Cricetulus griseus: one gene and its partners. The main gene of each other region encodes a partner of the protein of the gene in region 3 in a complex. Links are inferred from orthologs where the notes say so. Each region holds a gene or a part of one and is shown on either strand. Other genes may lie near its edges.

Region 1 (6,071 bases), on a different chromosome or scaffold from region 3:
CATCTCTTTAGTACTGGTATCCACTCAGCCCGTGTCTCCTTCACCACCAAGACCACCCCTGTAATCTCTTGCTACCTCCCTGAGCTGGTACCCCTCCTTTGGCCTTCACACACCCCCAAAGCTGAGATGCCAGTCCACCTACTATCTTCTCCCCCCAAGAGGTAGCTCTAAAAGTTGAAAACACCCAACTTTTCCTAAAGCCTAGATGTGTCTACCCCATTCCCAGAACCTTGGAGGAGGCCTGGTCCCAGGCCCGGCTAGAAGTAGAGGTAGGGGTAGCACAAATCTTCAGGTATATGCCAGAGCACCAGCTGCACCCACTGGCCTAGGTTAGGCTTTTCTCGGCTTTGGTGTTACAGAGTTCCTGTACCCAGGCCTGGGGAAAACATGGGCCCAAGGCCAGGTTCTGCCCTCAGGAGTCACAAACCCAAATGCACCTGAAGCAAAGGACACCTGAGGCATTAGTCCAGCCCAGTTTATGGACAAGATAGTGATACCGGACGTTTGGAGAAGACTAAGATGTATTCCCATGAGTGAGGCCAGGAACCAGGGTCTGACCTGGGTCTTAAAGGGTGAGTGTGATGGGCCAGGCAGAGGGCAAGTGGAGGCATTACACGGTGGCAGAAGAGCCTCAAGGCTAGCAGATGAGGGAGGGTTCCCACGCAGATCATCACTAGAGCTACCTTTATAGCCCTGGCTGCTGGTCAGCCCACCGTGAACCAGTGTCTGCCACACCATCTGAACAAGGCGTTCTCTCTAAACCTTTCACAGTGACAGTGGGCGCCTGAAAGGGCAATGACAGCTAGGCACACTAGCAGGACCTGCAGGAAACTAAGGTGCTGGCCCAAAAGACTCCTGGGAGAACATTCCCTCTGTTGCTTGTCCTGGCCAATGAAGACATTCTGCAGGGCCAAAGGTTAGGCCCCCTCCGTGCAATGCTGGGTCCTGAGGGCTCAAATTTTAATGTGTTCCCACAAATTCCCTCAGGCCTTGTCCCTCCCTCATCCTAGTTCTGACAGCTGCCGTCCCAGGAAGCCCATAAGTGTGACCCTTAGTTGTCCCAAAGCCTGCGGGCTCCTCCTCCAGAAGGTGGGAACAGGCGTGGCTTCTGGCATGGGCGGGGCCTGAGCTCAGCCTAGGGATCTCCTTTCTGTTCTCCCTCCACTCGGGGGTCGGCCAGTTCTCTCCCTACGGTCCTTTCCGGGGCTCCCTCATCCTCTCCCACTCCACACTCCTGCTTTCTCTTCGGTCCTGGAGCGGACCTCAGCCCCCCAGCCCCCCTGGGTCTCCATGCCAGAGCCACCAAACCTTGTTTGCTCACTCTTTCCTCCTTACCCACCCAAGTACGCATCCCGGCTCGGCACGATTCCCCACACTCACTCTTCCTGTGCTCAGGAGCCCAGTCCATGTCCCCTTTTCGGAAAGACTTTCCCCGGTTGCCCTCACTTTCCCACACAGAGGCAAACAAAGACTCACGAGCCCAGAAATAGCCTCCCTCCGAGCTGGAAGGCACAGGCCGTGTCCTGCCCCGCGCGCACGCACGCTCGCACGCTCGCACGCGCAGGCACGGCGGCTCCCGTGGAGGGAGCACACCGGTGCCCGCACATAAACATCCACACCCTCGGCCGCTGCGCCGAGCCACAAAAGGGTGCAGACACGCGGAGCGCGAGGCACGGGCACACCCACGGCGGCCGGCCCTGGACGGCTGCAAGGCCCGCTCCCGGCTCGCCCGCCCCCCCGCCCCCGGATTCCTTCCAGCAAATGTTTCCCTACTTGGCCTGCCCGGTCCCTGGGGAAAGGGCCTCAGAAATGCTGCAGGAGCCACTTGGGGGAAGAAAGTTGGAACTGCCCGTTCTCTGCCTGGCCCTGCCGGCGAATTCCCCAACCGAGAAACTGTTTGTGGAGAAAGAAGGCAGGGTGGCGGGCAAGCCCCCCCCCGTCCCCTCCCTAGACTGTCCCTCCCCGTGCCGCCACCGGCGAGCCTCCGGCGGCCTGGGCGCTCGCTGCCCGCCTCGCAGCCGCTGGGCGGACCGGCCTGGCTCGCCGCGTCTCTGCGCCGTTTGGACCACGCGGGTGCACGGGAGGGCTGCTGTGTCCCCGCGCGTCGCAGGCAGACCCCGGGCCGCCGGACTATTTCTGTCTTATCAGTGCAGGAATGCGGCAGCCGCGGCGGCGGCGGCGGGCGGCGGCGGCGGGCGGGCGGCGGCGGCTTGGGCCGTGGGCCGTCAGGGCAGCCCTGAAGGGGCCCCCTCCCCACTCCGCTCGAGTAGAAGTGTGAGAGAGCCCAGCAGGACTCAGAGGGGAGAGTTGGAGGAAAAAAAGGCAGAAAAGGGAAAGAAAGAGGAAGAGAGAGAGAGTGAGAGGAGCCGCTGAGCCCACCCCGATGGCCGCGGACGAAGTTGCCGGAGGGGCGCGCAAAGCCACGAAAAGCAAACTTTTTGAGTTTCTGGTCCATGGGGTGGTGAGTGGGGGAAAGTTAGCGGGGGAGGGCGAGCGAGCTGGCTCGGGCTGAATGGAGGGATGATCGGGAAGGGCCGCCGGCGCGCTCCCGCTCTCCCACCCCTTTGGTTGGGGGGCGCACGGTCACGGCCCAACCCTGGGACCTTGCCGGCGCCCTGGCATCCGAACACGTCGCCAAGCGGTCGGCTGGGGATGGGCGCGCGGCGGCAGGGAAGAGAGGCGTCGGCTTGGGCTCTTGTCAGGGGCAAGGGGTGGGATGTGGGCACCGTGCCCCCCAAGAGGTGGGTCCCCTCTGTAGCTGACACGTCGCCCGTTCTTTTTTACTGGTGGGCCCAGGTGTTACCCCTGCCCTGGGGTGGGGGTGGGGTGGCGACTGGAACACACAACTAGGGTTGGGCTGCCTGTTGTCCTGTTCATCCACAGGGGCAGTGTCACTCTGACTGGGTCTGAGGAACTAGGAGCAGGTGACCCTGGAGGCACCTGAGAGCAAAAGCTCCCTGGCTGAGCAACCTCTGCAGCCTAGCAGGAGGGTCCTGAGGACTTGGCCCTGCTGTCAGAGCTAAGAGAGGCCTACTTAAGAGATGGACCCCAAGTTAAAGGGGTCAGGGGATCCCTTGGCAGGCTCAGCCACCAGAAGTTGATGACCTTAATACCTCAAAGGTGTGAAGGGATGGAGTTGGGGACATGAGGCCTAGAGATCAAAGGGTTAACACTATAGTGTCCTGCCACAGACATGTGAAGGCACACGAGGGACCTGAGGGTTCCAGGGACCTGAGGAGGGAGATGACTGGGTTGAGTCAGTGGAGAGCCTGGCTGTAAGGCGCTCCAGGCTTGGGGATATGTGATAGAGGGAAAAATCAGTCAAATTTACTATGGCCAAATTTGGTTGTGACTCCAAGAAGCACCTCCTCAGTGAAAGAGGCAAGGGCCCCCAAAACCTTGACCTCTTGTGATTGTGGTGCTGGTGGCAGAGCCCCTGGAAGCCCCTTCCTCTCAGTAAACCAGACAGTGTGGGTGGCCTTGATGAGTAGCAGGGCAGCTGATAGGGAGGAGGGCTTCCCTGTGGCAGCCTGCCCTCTAGCCACAGGGATCTCTGGGGTGCAGTTCCCAAGGCAGTCCTGTGGGTTAGTGGAGTTACCAGTCCTAACCTAGCTGCCTGGGGGAGTTGCTTTACAGAGTCCCATTCAGTGAAGAGGAGGCTGCCCATGTGGATTTGAATATGGCCAACTTGGAGGGTCAGTCCTTGAGTGATCAAGGCCCCCTTATTAGTAGTGGGGAATGACTAGGCCTGGCCTTCCACCCTGGTGGCACTGGTGGTATGAGTGACAGAGTCAGGTGGAATGGGGGAGGCAAACTCAGGAACTGGCCGGTTACACTACAGAAGAGATGGCCAGGGACAGCTGCTGGTAGAGGGTGGTAGAGGGTGGAGACCTTTGGTCTGAGCAGTCGGGGTTTCTTGGTTCTGGGGTGAGATGAGGAGTATTTTGTATTTGTTTATTGTGTATTGAGGCAGGGTCTCCTGTAGCCTAGGCCTCGAACTCACTATATAAGGGAAGATGGTCTTGCTCTTTCTGTCCCCACCTTGAGATTGGGATTACAAGTGCAGTTTCTTTGGTGCTGGGAATCGAACCCTGGGCTTCACATGTATTGGGCAAGCACTACACCAAGCTACATCCCTAGCCTGAGATGAGGGTGTGTAAATAGTAGGGTCTGCACCCCCACATCACCTCCTTGTTCCTGGTTAGCCCCTAAACCTCAACTCCCTTTCCAGGCCTGGACAAGTGGACTCTGGAACACCCCGCTTGCGTTTACACCTCTTCTGTTTTGATTGACTGCCCAGAGGTGGTGGCTGGGGAAATACAACCTGCCTCATTTCCCTCCAATTTGTACCCTTACTAGGATGGGGTGGGTACTGGGTTCTCTCTCTGATGTAGGCAGATGGGAGGGAGATGTGGCTTCCTTCAACCATCCCTGCCCTCTGGCAGCCCACTTCTAGTCCAGTTCCCCACTTGCCACTCGGAAAAGCTCAGACCCTCGGGTGCCTTTGCCCAGCCTCTTGTATCACCTTGGGAGAAATGAAATTAAGGAGGCAGACTAAGTCAGAGACCTGGAGTCAGCTGAAGGGGTTATTTGAACACCAAGGGTCCAAACCAGGGGTGCTGAAAGGGAGATGGGGGCTCACATACAAAGCCCCAGAAGTGGGCTGTAGAAAGCAGGAAAGCAGCGGGGAGCAAGGCCCGTCAAGGTGCTGCCTTTGTCGGGATGAACGGGGTGACCTTGGCGAGGTCGCTTTTTCTCTTTGAGCCCCAGTTGCCCCATCTGTCAATTGGGGATAAAAAAGACCGGCTCTGGCTGGCTTGCAGAAGACCGTGCCTGCCGATGTGAACATCCTTTGAAAGGTTGAAAGGCGCCATTAATATTCATTTTTGCGGTACCTTGCACGGCTCCGAGGCTCGGCTATGCCCTGGGCAATTGCCTGGCTTCAGTTAGCTTCCTGCAAGGAGCCGGCGAGCCCCCTCCTCCAGAGCCACGCAGATTCCCGCGCCCCCGCCCCTCCCACAATCACTCCCACTCCTCGCTCAGCGCAGGGTTACCAGCCCCGGGTCTTGGAGAGGGGCGGGGACACAGCACGCTGGCCTGGGGGTCGGGACCGAATCTGACCTGTCGGCGCCGGTTTCTGCTTCACCTCCCGCCCCACCCCACCCCCCCAGCGCCCCGGGATGCCGTCTGGAGCCCGAATGCCCCACCAGGGGGCGCCCATGGGCCCCCCGGGCTCCCCCTACATGGGCAGCCCCGCCGTGCGACCCGGCCTGGCCCCCGCGGGCATGGAGCCCGCCCGCAAGCGAGCAGCGCCCCCGCCCGGGCAGAGCCAGCCACAGGGCCAGGGCCAGCCTGTGCCCACCGCCCCCGCGCGGAGCCGCAGGTGAGTGCCCCCCCACCGGCGTGGAAGGGCGTGCAGGGGCGGGCAGGCAGAAGCCTCGGGGACCAGGTGGGTGAGTGATGGGTGTGGGAAGCTGAGGAAGGGTGTTAGCAGCGACCAAGTCATTCTGACTTGGATACTCTCTGGGGAGGGCTTGGGGGCACTGGTCTGGTTCTTTTGTGTGCCCACACTGGAGACAGACTGCGACAGTCAGCTGCCAGTGTCCCCTCTCTCACGCACCCCTTGCTCTCCTGCTTGTCACTTGCTAAATCCTTTTTCACATCCCTTACCCCAAGTTCTGGATGACGCTTCAGGCTTTGGGGAGAGGCAGGGCTGGCAGTAAACTGAGGGCTGAGCTTTAGCTGTGTGTTTGCTGAAGTGTGGTCCTCTGGTACCTCCCTGCCAGTCCGGAGTCCCGAATCTCCCTCTAGACCTCCACAGTCCCTATCTTGGCAGTGGGCGTGAATAGACGTTATAGTCCCTCTGAGGGACCAGATCTGCCCTCAGGCCACCGGACCAGCTTATTTGTCTGAGAAGTTGGTGACACTACCATGGCCCCTGCTGACTGTTGGCAAGATCCCTATGGGCATCAGTATTTAGCCAAACACACATGCTCCCTTTTGCACAACAGATGGGTTCTTATACAAGGTGTAATACCAATTTTACCTCATTATTAAGTTATTAGCTTTTA
Region 2 (5,762 bases), on a different chromosome or scaffold from region 3:
AACCCTGGTATTAAATCAGATAGAGCAGAGCTAACTTATCAATCACTTCATTACCATTTCTTACTGAGAAGGCACTGTTATGGTTAACTAAGAGAATTACTATTAGAGTTTGGCATCTGGTCTGCCAATTCGGTTTTTTTAGAGGAAAGTGTAGAACACAACACATATCCTCTAATTGTAGAATATATCACTAGGGAAAATTCTATCAAGGTTGGTAGTACCCAATTTTTGATCATCCTATTTCTTTGCAAGTCATGCAAATCTTCACTTGGTTTTATTTTCCAAAACAAAATGCTTTAACTTTTTCTCAGTAGCCTAGCTACAGCCCTACAAAAGCAAACCTGGAGAGTGACATATGGAGGAACACAAGTTTAGCTAAGGACATAGTTTAAAGCAGCTTCTAATAAGAACATAAGGCCCAAGTTGACCTAAGAACAATGTAAATACTTAAAACAACTTTGAAAGTATCTGGTTAAAAAAGACTACCTATAAGTACAATTACTATTTGGCATAATCCCAAGATAGAAAAGACAGCAAGAAACAAAATACTTATAAATAAACTTTGTAAAAGAAAAGAAGTCCAAGTATTTCATTAATTATGCTGTTTGTTAATAGGAATGCAAATTTTACAGAAAAATACACATCTCACCAGTCACATATACCATTCAGAATTGAACACAGAAATTTAATCTAGAAACTTAAAAAATACTAGGCATAACTTTAAAATATACAATTTAAATATACAAATGTTTTAAATTGATTAGCACAAAGCCCTAGCATGTATTAGCATGATTCTCTCAGATCCTCTTACTATCCAAACCAGAAATAATCAAGTGACTATCACTATAAGTATTAAGTTCTTATTTCTCATTTTATTACTAAATCAACGGCTTGGGAAGCTGTTTTTAATTTATTCTTTTATTTAAAAGATACTCTGACATGTATACACACTCACACACACACACACACACACACACACACACACACACACACACACACCTGGTATTTTCTTGAGTTCATATAGAACTAGTAACTGACAAGATCTGTGAACTCTTCAGCGTCAAGTCTGAAGTCAATCTAAGGCAGCCAATAGGAAGTACACCTGTGCAATTACCCTGTTTCCTATGTCAGAATCCTGAGCGCTATACAGAGTAACTAGTGCATTTGGAGCAATACAAGACTCAAATTATACAGAAGCTACATTTTACAAAAATGAAATAAAGGCTATCTTATGATATCACCATTACCAATACTTATTAGAAGGAACTATTGAGATCATTATTTTAATTTTAAATTACTAAGAACACTGGGTAATCAAATACAAATACCGACTCCAAAACAAAGTACAATATGAAAGGATCTATAAAAGGAAATCTAGGAGGAAAAAAAAATCCTAAAAGTCACAAAATACATTATCTAGACTAAAGCATATACCAACTCAGTAAGAAGTTTACTTTTTTGAGTAAGCAGTCAAAATGCAAGGGAAAATGGAAGAAAATCCCAACCATAGTACCTGGCTTCACACCACCCCCATTTTCCTAAAGATGCTGAATATTTTCAAATTTCTCAGAAATTCAGTAACAAGAGTCCAAAAAAGTAACCCTGGTCAACCAATGTATCTACATTGTATTATTTATGTAAAAATATTCCATTGAAAACGCACTGAATAACAGTTCCAATACTTTTCCTTTAAAAAAAGAAATTCCGAAAACCAGAATTGTAGAGGGTTAAGGAGTTTCCAAAGAAGAAAAAGAAGAAAGACAAATCTTCCCACAGGTTACAAAGTTTCATTAAGTATCTTAAGACTTTTACTAAGCATCATCTTTTCTGGCCCTCAGTGACTATCAAGCAGTCAATAACAATGTCACAAAAGAATGTTTACAAGACAGGACATGGGTTGTCACCTGTAATGACTTTGTATGGAAAATGTAAATGGCCGTGTTTTAAGGTGAGGAAAACTTCAGCCTCCTATCATCTCCCTTTTTTGACAGTCAATGCTTCTCAGACTGAAATTACCAAGGGGTTGGAAATTGTTTAGAGCATAAATTTTGTTGTTGTTTAATCGCCCTTAAGTCCCTCATTTCCAAATACTGTGGAAAAGTCACCACTACTCACCGCAAGTAATACTGTTTTAAAGCAAAGGCAGCGTTAGAACAACTTCTGGGAAAGTTGAACTCTTCAACAATTTCTCCCCACTGATTCTTCTCAGAAACCTGTTAAAAACACAGGCACACTTGTCTGAAAGTGCCCAATCCAAGAAAAACCTACCCTAACTTGGGAGCTAAATTCCCATTCTGCAGAGATCTGCAGATACCTAAGGTATCAGTGGGTGTCTGGGGTCTGTCCACAAGAGTTACTAAGCCAGGGCCGCCTGAATCACTAGGTTTTCATCAGAGAGACCTGCATTTAGCAGCACTTGTTTTGTTTGGGGGGGAGAGGATTGGTGGGTTTGTTTTGTTTTTGAAGCCCGGACAATAACCAATCGCAAGTCCCTCTGTCGCCCCCTTTTAAATCTCAACGCGGTCCGTTTACACTAAAGAAGAAGAAAAAAAAAGTTCAAAAGGATCAATACTGCTCCGGACAGCGACGTCCGCGAGCTCTGGGGGGGCCGGGGCCGGGGCCCGACTCCGATCCCTCTCCCAGATCTCTCCATCTCCATAGGCCCTTCTTTGAGGCCTACAGCTTCTGCCTAGCCTTGAAGCCTAAGATGGCTATTTGCAGACAGGTCCTGCTTTCTTTTGTTAGCTGTGGAAAGCCAGGGCGAGCGGGCCGAGCCTGTGCCCCCGGCCGCCGGGATCATTTCGCAGCCGATTATCGATGTTAAACCTGCCCGCGCTAATTTTGAGTTGCACGAAAACTGCTCAGAGTCTGTGTGTCTCTGTGTCTCCGCCTGTGCTAGAGCGGCAGCGGCGGCGGCGGCGGCGGCGCGGCGGCGGCGCTGACTCGCAGGCGGCGAGCGAGCGGGCAAGCGGGCGCGGGCGGGCGCGGGGTTCGGCGGGCGGGCACCCTGCTCGCCCGCGCTCCCCCGCCGCGCCGCTCAGACCCCGCGGGGGCCGGCCGGACACCGGGCCGGGGGCGCTTTCCCGGCCGCCGGGCCGCCGGGCCGCCCGCCCAGCCCGCCCAGCCCCGCGCCCCGCCGCGCGCACGCGAGCGAGCGAGCGAGCCACCAGGCCGAAAAACAGCCCCTGCCGCCGCCGGGCCGCCTCCGTGCCACCGCCGGCTGCGAGCGCCGAGAACGCCGTGTGCCCCGCCGGTCGCCCCCCCCCTCCCCGGCCCCCGGGGCGCCCGCTCCCGGGCCGGAGCAGACTTTTCGGAGCAGGCCAGCGAGAGGGAAATACAAATTAAAACTTCCACTCACCTTCGCGAATCCGCCTAAAGTAGTGACTCTGGTGTAGAGCCCGTGAAGATCCAGCTCCTTCCCACCCACCGCAGGGATCTTCTTAAACGGCGACCTGCGGGCGACAGAAAGCCCCGCACTTGTCACCGGGACCCCCCGCGCCCGCCGCGGGGCCCCGTTCGCCCCGGCTCGCCCCGGCGCTCGCCCCCCCGGGTCCTGCTCTCACCCTCTGCTGTGGTGGAACTGCCGCAGCTCGTCCAGGAAAGCCAGTCCCTTCCTCCGCTCGTCCGGAGGCGCCTTCCCCGTCGAGTTTGCCATTATTTTGCCAAAAGGAAGGGCTTCCGAAAAGCCAGATCGCGCTTCAGACGCGGCCCCCGCTCCCCGCGCTCCCTACCAGCGCCCGGAGCCCATTCCTCGGCCGCCGGTGGCGGGGCTCAGTCATGGGCCGGCGGTGGCGGCGGCGGCGCGGCGGCGGCGGCGGCGGCGGCGGCGCAGGGAGGGAGGAGGAGGGGGAGGAGGCGAGAGGAGGGAAGGAGGGAGCGGGAGGCCAGGGGGAGCGCAGGGCCGGAGGGAGGGGAATTTCTAAAAAAGTTTAAAGAAACGGGAGCGAAACTAGAGGGGCAAGGCGACGGGCGCCGGCCGGGCGCGGAGCCGCGGGGCGAGCGCCCCCCCTGCCTCGCCGCCCCCGCGGCCCGGCTCTGGCCGCCTCTCAGCGCCGCCGGCCCTGGCGGCTCGGCCCGGGACGCGATTCAACATGGTGCTGCGGCCGGGGGGCGCACGAGGCGCCGGGGCCGGGCGAGCGGAGGCGAGGGGCCCGGGTGGCCGCAGGCCTGGGAGTTTCGGCGGCGGCGGCGGCGCGCGGCGGCGGGCGGCGGCAGCGCGGGGGCCGGGGCAGGCGGGGCCGCGTGGGAGGGGGAGGTCTGTGTGGTGGCTTGTGGAGAGCGGGGTGACAGCGTGGATCCGGCGCGCGGCTCCGCGGGGCCTCGCACACATTCACGCGCGCGGCGGCGGAGACGGCGGTGGCCACGGCGGCCCGGCGTCCCCCGGCACAGGCTCCGGCGGCAGCCGAGCCGCTGCGCGCCGCCGCGCCGGCCTGCCTGCCTGGCCGCCAGTCTCGCTCTCAGCCGCCGCCGCCACGGCCGGGCCGCTCGCACGACAGCGCCGCACAGCGCCCCCCGAGGGCCGGCCGCGGCACTGCGCCTGGCTCCACACGGTCGCGGCTGCTCCTCGCGGGGAACAATAGACTCCGGCTCGCCCGGCTTAGGGTTCATCTGCAATGTGCAGCACATTTCACACGCACACAAAGCGGGCGGAAAGGGGGGCGGGGGCGGCGCGGGGAAACGGCCACTACCGGTTCTTCCAGGGTGAGGGGTGGAGGCGATGTGCGCGTCCCCGGCGGCCGGGGCTGTGGCAGAGCGGCCTCCGTGTCCCCCCGCCGGGCCTCCCGCCGCACCGAGGGCCAGCGGCTCGCCCCGGCGCAGCCCTCGCCTCCCGGGGAAAGTCCTCTCGCAGCCTCTGCAAATGTTTAGGGCGGGAGGGATCGGCCTCTCGGCTTTATGCTACCAGACTGGGGCCCGAGGAGCACATTTTCCACGGTGTGACCAAAAAACTCATTTTGACAAACTGTGGAGCACACACGGTGTGAATTGTCTGCCCTACTTTTGTGGAGATGAGAGTAAGGCTCTGAATTCGTCTCGCCCCTCGGTCGGTTTCGTGCACCGAACCGGAGTTGATGCCAACAGTCACCGCGCCGGTTAAGAAACCACCTCTAGAACTTTGAGGATAACGTTTATATTTGGCACTAATATCTTAAAATAGAGGGCAAAACGTTTCCCCTTGCCATTTTCCGTAGCGGTCCTTAAATGTGTAAAAAAGGGAATTCAAAATTTTCTCTCAACAAATAACACCCAAATTTGCATTGACGAAGATGTTGGAGCCCTCCCTCGTCGAGCATCATGTTTCCTCAGTGTGTTAGCATTCCCATTTTAGAGACAGCCACTACTGGCAAAGTCACTAGCCCAAGGTCACAGGATAGTAAGAGTGTGCACGGGTTTATTTCGGGTAGTCTTTCCAATGGCACATGGATTGGGTGGCGGCAAAGAAAAAAATTATGTAATACGGTGAAGCACGCTTCCGGTACTCACTCTAGGAAACGGATTTATTTCCCCAGTAAAGTTTATGTCTTAAATGGGGTCGGAATAAGGTGTGGCTAGGAAATTCCTGACACCCGAGGACCAGTGAGTGTCTCGCAAGCCTGTGAGGGGCGGAGACCCTGCCCGTGGAGGAGGAGAAGCCGGCTGGCCGGAGGCGAGGCACGGGTGGGCCGGCCGGCTGGGCGAGCGGGCGAGCCAGCAGCCCCCCTCCCCCGCCGCCTCAAGGGCAGTGGCGACCACGGCGGGCAAGCGGGCGGCCGGGCAGGCTGTGC
Region 3 (5,805 bases):
CAAAAGACTGACAAGTGGTAGGCCCACTACACACTCATCCCTGAGAAAACTGAGCTGATTTAAAACATACTTAGAAGGGGGAATAAATAGAATTTGTTTTTTTGTGGAAAAAGAGATTCCCTGCAAGGTGGGTGTGATGACTCAAACATGTAATCTTGCAGTCAGAGCACCAAGTTAGAAAGACTGCCATGAGTTTGAGTTGCAGCAGGCCACCCTGAACTACAGTGAAACTGCCTCAAAAAGCAAACGAACAACTGACGGGTGGTGGCACACACCTTTAATCTCAGCTCTCAAGAGGCAGAGGCAGGTGGATCTCCGTGAGTTTGAGACCAGCCTGGTCTACAGAGCGAGTTTCAGGACAGCCAGGACTGTTACAGGAGAAACTTTGTCTCACAAAGCTAAACAAACAAAGCAAACAGAAAGATTCCTTGCATGAAACTCATTGGTGCTGGGATAGTGATAGGTTCCAGCTGGAGGACTAGCCTGTGGTATGCAGAGGACTTAGTGATGGGGGTGAGGCTAGACATTGTGCTAATCGGGGTGCCAGGGAAGCAGCGAGCCAGCCATATGAAGGTGGGAAACCCGTACCAACACATAGACAGCTCCATGAATTCGCAGAGCTCCTTCTCGGAGAAGATTGCGCTATGTAAGACATGAAATACAAAAAGAACAAGTAGCCTGCAAACACTAGGGAAGGTGAAAGGGTAAGAGGTTGAAAAGGACAAGTTTCCTAGTTTGGTTAATAATGTACATGGAGATTTTAACTTGTTTCTGGTACCTAACGTGTACTAATACCATCTGCAGTGGTTAAGTTTCAATAGGCCTCCTTCTAGGCCTGTTGTCATACCTGAAGTTAATCTCAAGAAATTTCAAATGTGGGCTAGGGAACACAACTCAACAGAGAATGCTTGCCTGGCATACACCTGAACCCCTGGATTCAGCAACAAGACATGAACCTGGTGTGTGTGAGCACACCTGTAACTCCAGCACTTGGAAACATAGGGCAGGAAGATCAGAAAAAAGTTCAAGGTAGTCTTAGCTACTGTCCAAGTTCAAGGGCAGTCTGGATACATGAGGTCCTGTCTCAAACTTAAACATCCAAATGAGGGAATGCTTGTTTCTCCGGTCTCCAGTGTCATAAGACTTCCATGTGTGACTTCTAGTCACAAATCTCCAAGACGCCCTCTTTCCCTAGAAATTTCACCACTAACTATCATTGCACAACACACACATTCCCAAACAAAACAAATCTTCACCCAAATCTTTCATTATCTCATGAATCGTTACAGATCTCTCAAACTGCCTGGTGACCTAGCAGCCAGAACAGCTGTGCATCGATCAGTTTCTATGTTACCCCCACCTAACCTAATGAAGCGATGCGATCTTTTCACTTCCACATTTAGATGGGGGTGGGGGGCTGGCGGGGGCGGAGGAAAAAAAAAAGGAACAGAGAATGTCGTCACGAACAGGATTCGAACCTGTGCGGGGAAACCCCATTGGATTTCGAGTCCAACGCCTTAACCACTCGGCCACCGTGACTCCCAAAACCATGCTCCGCCGCGCGCTTACAGAAAGGGTCCGGGCGGCGCCCGAGGGAGGCGCGTGCGACCCCGCAGCGGTGGCGGCCCCGAGGCGCACACCTGGAGCCGCTGCCTCCTATCCCGCCTGCCTGGCCCGGAAGGGTCGGGGGCTCCGGGCTCGCAAACCGATCCCTTAATCACAGACAGTCGGCAAAAAGACCGGAAAGTCAAACGGAGGGAAGAGACCCCCCTCCTCACCTGAGCCCCGACCCCCGGGGGATGCTGGGCGGCACCGGGACCCGGAGCGTCAGGAACACCCGTGGGGTCGAAAGCGGAATGGGAGGAGATGAAAGGGACTTATTGGAGGGAAGGGAGCGCGCATGATGGGGGCCACTCGGGGTTAGGGGCGGGCGGAGCTCCTGTAGACCGGGGTCCCCCATGGGGTCCCCACTCCCGCTGCGGGACCCCGGGGAGCAGCCGCCACCCACCCGCGAGCGAGGCTCGCCGCCACCGCCCCGGAGCCCGCTCGCTGTGGCCGCGTCGGGCCGGGCCGCCAGCAGGGGGCGCTCCCGCGGGCCGGGGCCGGCCCAGGCGGCGGGAGGCGGCGGCCGTGGCGGGGAGGCGGCGGCGGGAGGCGGGCGGAGGAGGAGGCGGGAGCTGAGCTGAGCTGAGCTGAGCGGGGCGGGCGGGCGGCGGCGGCGGCGGGGCCCGAGCCCGAGAAGATGGCGGTGCGGAAGAAGGACGGCGGCCCCAACGTGAAGTACTACGAGGCCGCGGACACCGTGACCCAGTTCGACAACGTGCGGCTCTGGCTCGGCAAGAACTACAAGAAGGTACGCCGGGCTGGCGGGCCGGGACAAAGGGCTCGCGGGCCGCGGCTCTCCCGGGGCCGGCCCACCCTCGGGCCGCCTCGCCTAGCCTCGCCTCGCCGCCCCGCGCCGCGCCGCGCCCCTCCCCGCGGCCTCCCCGCGCAGCGCAGCGCCGCGCCCCCTCCCCACCCCGCCCCCACTGTGCCCTCTGCCCGGGGCTCGCCCGGGGCTCGGGGCGGCGGCCCAGGGCCCGATCGCCCTCGCTCTCCCGGAGGCTAACCGGTCCAGAGCCGGCCACCCGGTCGGCCGGGTACCGCCGCGCGCCTCCTCTCCTCCGGTGTGCGAGCCGCGGTGTCTCCCCCACCCCCCGCGCCGGAGCTTCCCCGCCGAGCCAGGTACCGGCACGGCCCGGGCCTCCCTCCTCGGTGCTTTGTATCCGTCCAGAGACAGACGGAGAAAGCGGGAGGGTAGACAGGCACGGGACAGGCCGTGGGAAGCGTCTCTACCTGGGGGATCACCTGTCCCCCAGGCTTTATCCCCTTCCCTCCTCCTCGGGGGCCAGGGCATCGGGCCCCTTGGCTTCACAATAAAGTCGCTCTGCAACCCAGCCTAGCTAGCTAGCTAGCTAGCCAGCGTCGCTTGGGTTTTGAGGGCCAGAGGATAGGGTAAGCTTCATATCGCCAGTCCCCACCCCCACCCCGTAACTGGAAATAATAAGGGTGGTGAACAAAAGGGTTCAAGAAGCCCTACCTGTTTTTAAAAACATAGCAAACAACAACAACAACAACAAAAAAAAAACCCAAATCTCATTCTGGTGTTTTCATTGTCTCTAGGCTTTTTTTTTTTTTTTTCCTGGATATGGCCTGCTTCCTAGATACCCCTGCCTAAGGTTCCCCCCCCCACCACTTATTTTCTTTTACAGCCCCCAACTCTTCCTATCCCAGCTTTGCAACCTGTCAGAATACAGTGGTCAGCCTCAGAACTCTCCACTAACCCTGCTTTGAGTTGGGGTCTCTATGGGTGTCAAGACTCTTGACAAACAGCTGTTGGGTCTGTGACTCCTGTGTGTACCCCCAGCATGAGGTTCTGCTTCCCAGTCTGCTTTTGACCTTTTGAAGGGAGACCAGACAAGGGTCTTAGTCTATCGCCCCAAGGGGATTGACAGCTGTGACCCGATTCAGCTTTCAAGTGCTGAACTCTTTGTCATCTACTTCTCCCTTCACAGATCTTTTGACACCTCCCACCGAGAGAGGTCTGACTCTGATTAGGGTAGAGGAAATAAGGGTCAAAAGGTAAAGAGAAAATTAGTTCCTTGGATCAGTGAACAAAACAGAAAGGTAGGATTCCAGGTAGCACCATAGGGAAATGCTTGAGGTCATTGTTTCCTCAGAAAAGGATAGGTAGATGTCGGGCTTCCTACTTATCCTCAGGCCCGGTGGGTGGTCTGCCCTCCTTGCTAGAGAGGAGACCCTACAATGACAATCATGTCAGGTTTCAGTGGAAGCAAAATGTACAGGCTTAGTTTTGAAGTTAGATTGCCCTGCCTCTCTTCTTTGCTCTCTTAAGATACCATTATGGGTGGAAGCCTGGTCTTTTATCGTGTTCCCCCAAGAAATACATTGTTGTGTCACTTAGAGCCTCAAAGGGATTTTTGTTGCCTTGCCTTGAACTTCATAAAGCTTCAAGATTTTAACTGTTTGCTGGGGATGAGGTGACCAGCTATCAGGGTGTTGTGCAATGCCAGCATTGGGGTGCAGCTAAATAAGAGTGCAAAGTGTTCCTTGCTGTCTGTCCCCAGTGCTGGCAACCTGGGCTACTGACAGTAAAATGCAGGAGCTGCTAGAGCCCTTTTGATATAGACAGACAACGTGGAGGAGAAAGGCACAACTCTGTCCCAGGTGCTTCCAAGAACACAGGGAAAAGAAACGGGAGGTGGTAGAGAGCGTGTCTAGAATCTGTTTCTCTTCCTTTCCCTTCTTCCTCAGTACATACAAGCAGAACCACCGACCAACAAGTCCCTGTCTAGCCTGGTTGTGCAGTTGCTCCAGTTTCAGGAAGAGGTTTTTGGCAAGCATGTCAGCAATGCACCCCTTACTAAACTGCCGGTGAGTGCAAGGGACGAATCCTCCAAACTGGAAAGGGAGTTTTTGTTGTTTTGCTTTAAATTTTCTTTTCCTAGTACACAGAATCCCAGAATTAGGGTGGTTGAGGCAGGAGAATCAAAAGTTGGAGGCCAAACTGATTTACATAGCAGTTCTGATACTGTGTCCCATGTTATGAGACCCTGTCTCAAAAGAAAAAATAAATTCATCTTGTTTCTCTTCAAATTTCGTAATTTTGGTAGGTTTATTTCCTACAGTAATTGTCGTCATTAGTAGTCAGGGCATTACAGCTTGAACTAGTCCCCAGCTGGCTATTCCTGTTATTTTAGAAAACCCCTGTGCCACAAGTAATCTGAGAATATGGGGTTTAGTCCTCTGGTGTGTCTCTCATGGTTATGGTTTAAAAGGGTATGACATTTGGGAGCAGGAGAGATGGCTCAGTGGTTAAGAGCACTTGCAGAGTATCTGGGTACCATTACTAGTACCCACATGGTGGCTTATACCTCCAGGGATTCTTTTTTGTTGTTGTTTTGTTTCTCGAGACAGGGTTTCTCTGTGTCTTTGGAGGCTGTCCTGAACTAGCTCTTGTAGACCAGGCTGGCCTTGAACTCACAAGAGATCCGCCTGCCTCTGACTCCCAAGTTCTGGCATTAAAGGCATCAGCCACCAATGCCTGGCTGTTTGCTTTTTAAGACAGTGTCCTGGCAGGCAATGGTGGCTGATGTCTTTAATCCCAGAACTTGGGAGGCAGAGGCAGGCAGATTTCTTGTGAGTTCGAGGCCAACCTGGTCTACAAGAGCTAGTTCAGGACAGCCTCCAAAGACACAGAGAAACCCTGTTTCAAAAAAACAAACAAAACAAAACAAAACATTTGAGAAGGAGATGAGTTCAGAGTGGGATTTTTGTGGCAGGTTTTTATTTACAATGTAACTCACACTTCTTCCTGGTCTCTATTTTGTAGATCAAATGTTTCCTAGATTTCAAAGCAGGAGGATCCCTGTGCCACATTCTGGCAGCTGCCTACAAATTCAAGAGTGACCAGGGATGGTGAGATGCCTTCTCTCTGCTGTTCATGTTTAGTTTAAAGAAAATTCCCAGTGTTTCCTGGGGTCCTTCTGAAGCCAGAGGACGCATTAGAAATCCTATGTGTCTTTTATTTTGATAGATCAGAAAAATAGATGGCATAGCCAGAACAGTCCCCAAGAACCAGTGTGTCTGGGAAGAGGGTTTTTAGGTTGGCATCTCAAACTTTGTCCTTTTGATTTAACACATAGAGTGAATCATGCAGTTGTGACTTGGGCAAAATTTGTGACAATATTACCTCCTAATTGTTAAGAAGTTCTGTACCAAGCTGGGAGTTGGTGGCACAAGCCT

What was found. The genes of interacting proteins can lie anywhere in the genome.
Region 1: Smarcc2 (region 3) and Smarcd3 share a complex: the UniProt entries of both Homo sapiens proteins name them as parts of the BAF complex. The link is inferred for Cricetulus griseus from reciprocal best matches to the Homo sapiens genes SMARCC2 and SMARCD3.
Region 2: Smarcc2 (region 3) and Arid2 share a complex: the UniProt entries of both Homo sapiens proteins name them as parts of the SWI/SNF-B (PBAF) chromatin remodeling complex. The link is inferred for Cricetulus griseus from reciprocal best matches to the Homo sapiens genes SMARCC2 and ARID2.

Annotation. Positions count from the first base shown.
Region 1 is NC_048601.1:97,910,872-97,916,942, forward strand, and holds the start of Smarcd3 (SWI/SNF-related matrix-associated actin-dependent regulator of chromatin subfamily D member 3), read left to right. Parts: upstream 1-2,231; 5' UTR 2,232-2,383; coding exon 2,384-2,461; intron 2,462-5,171; coding exon 5,172-5,383; intron 5,384-6,071. UniProt on the Homo sapiens protein: Involved in transcriptional activation and repression of select genes by chromatin remodeling (alteration of DNA-nucleosome topology).
Region 2 is NC_048595.1:392,708,678-392,714,439, reverse strand, and holds the start of Arid2 (AT-rich interactive domain-containing protein 2), read right to left. Parts: upstream 3,841-5,762; 5' UTR 3,656-3,840; coding exon 3,564-3,655; intron 3,453-3,563; coding exon 3,359-3,452; intron 2,214-3,358; coding exon 2,116-2,213; intron 1-2,115. UniProt on the Homo sapiens protein: Involved in transcriptional activation and repression of select genes by chromatin remodeling (alteration of DNA-nucleosome topology). Required for the stability of the SWI/SNF chromatin remodeling complex SWI/SNF-B (PBAF).
Region 3 is NW_023276806.1:129,432,017-129,437,821, reverse strand, and holds the start of Smarcc2 (SWI/SNF complex subunit SMARCC2), read left to right. Parts: upstream 1-2,192; 5' UTR 2,193-2,242; coding exon 2,243-2,353; intron 2,354-4,314; coding exon 4,315-4,434; intron 4,435-5,392; coding exon 5,393-5,478; intron 5,479-5,805. UniProt on the Homo sapiens protein: Involved in transcriptional activation and repression of select genes by chromatin remodeling (alteration of DNA-nucleosome topology).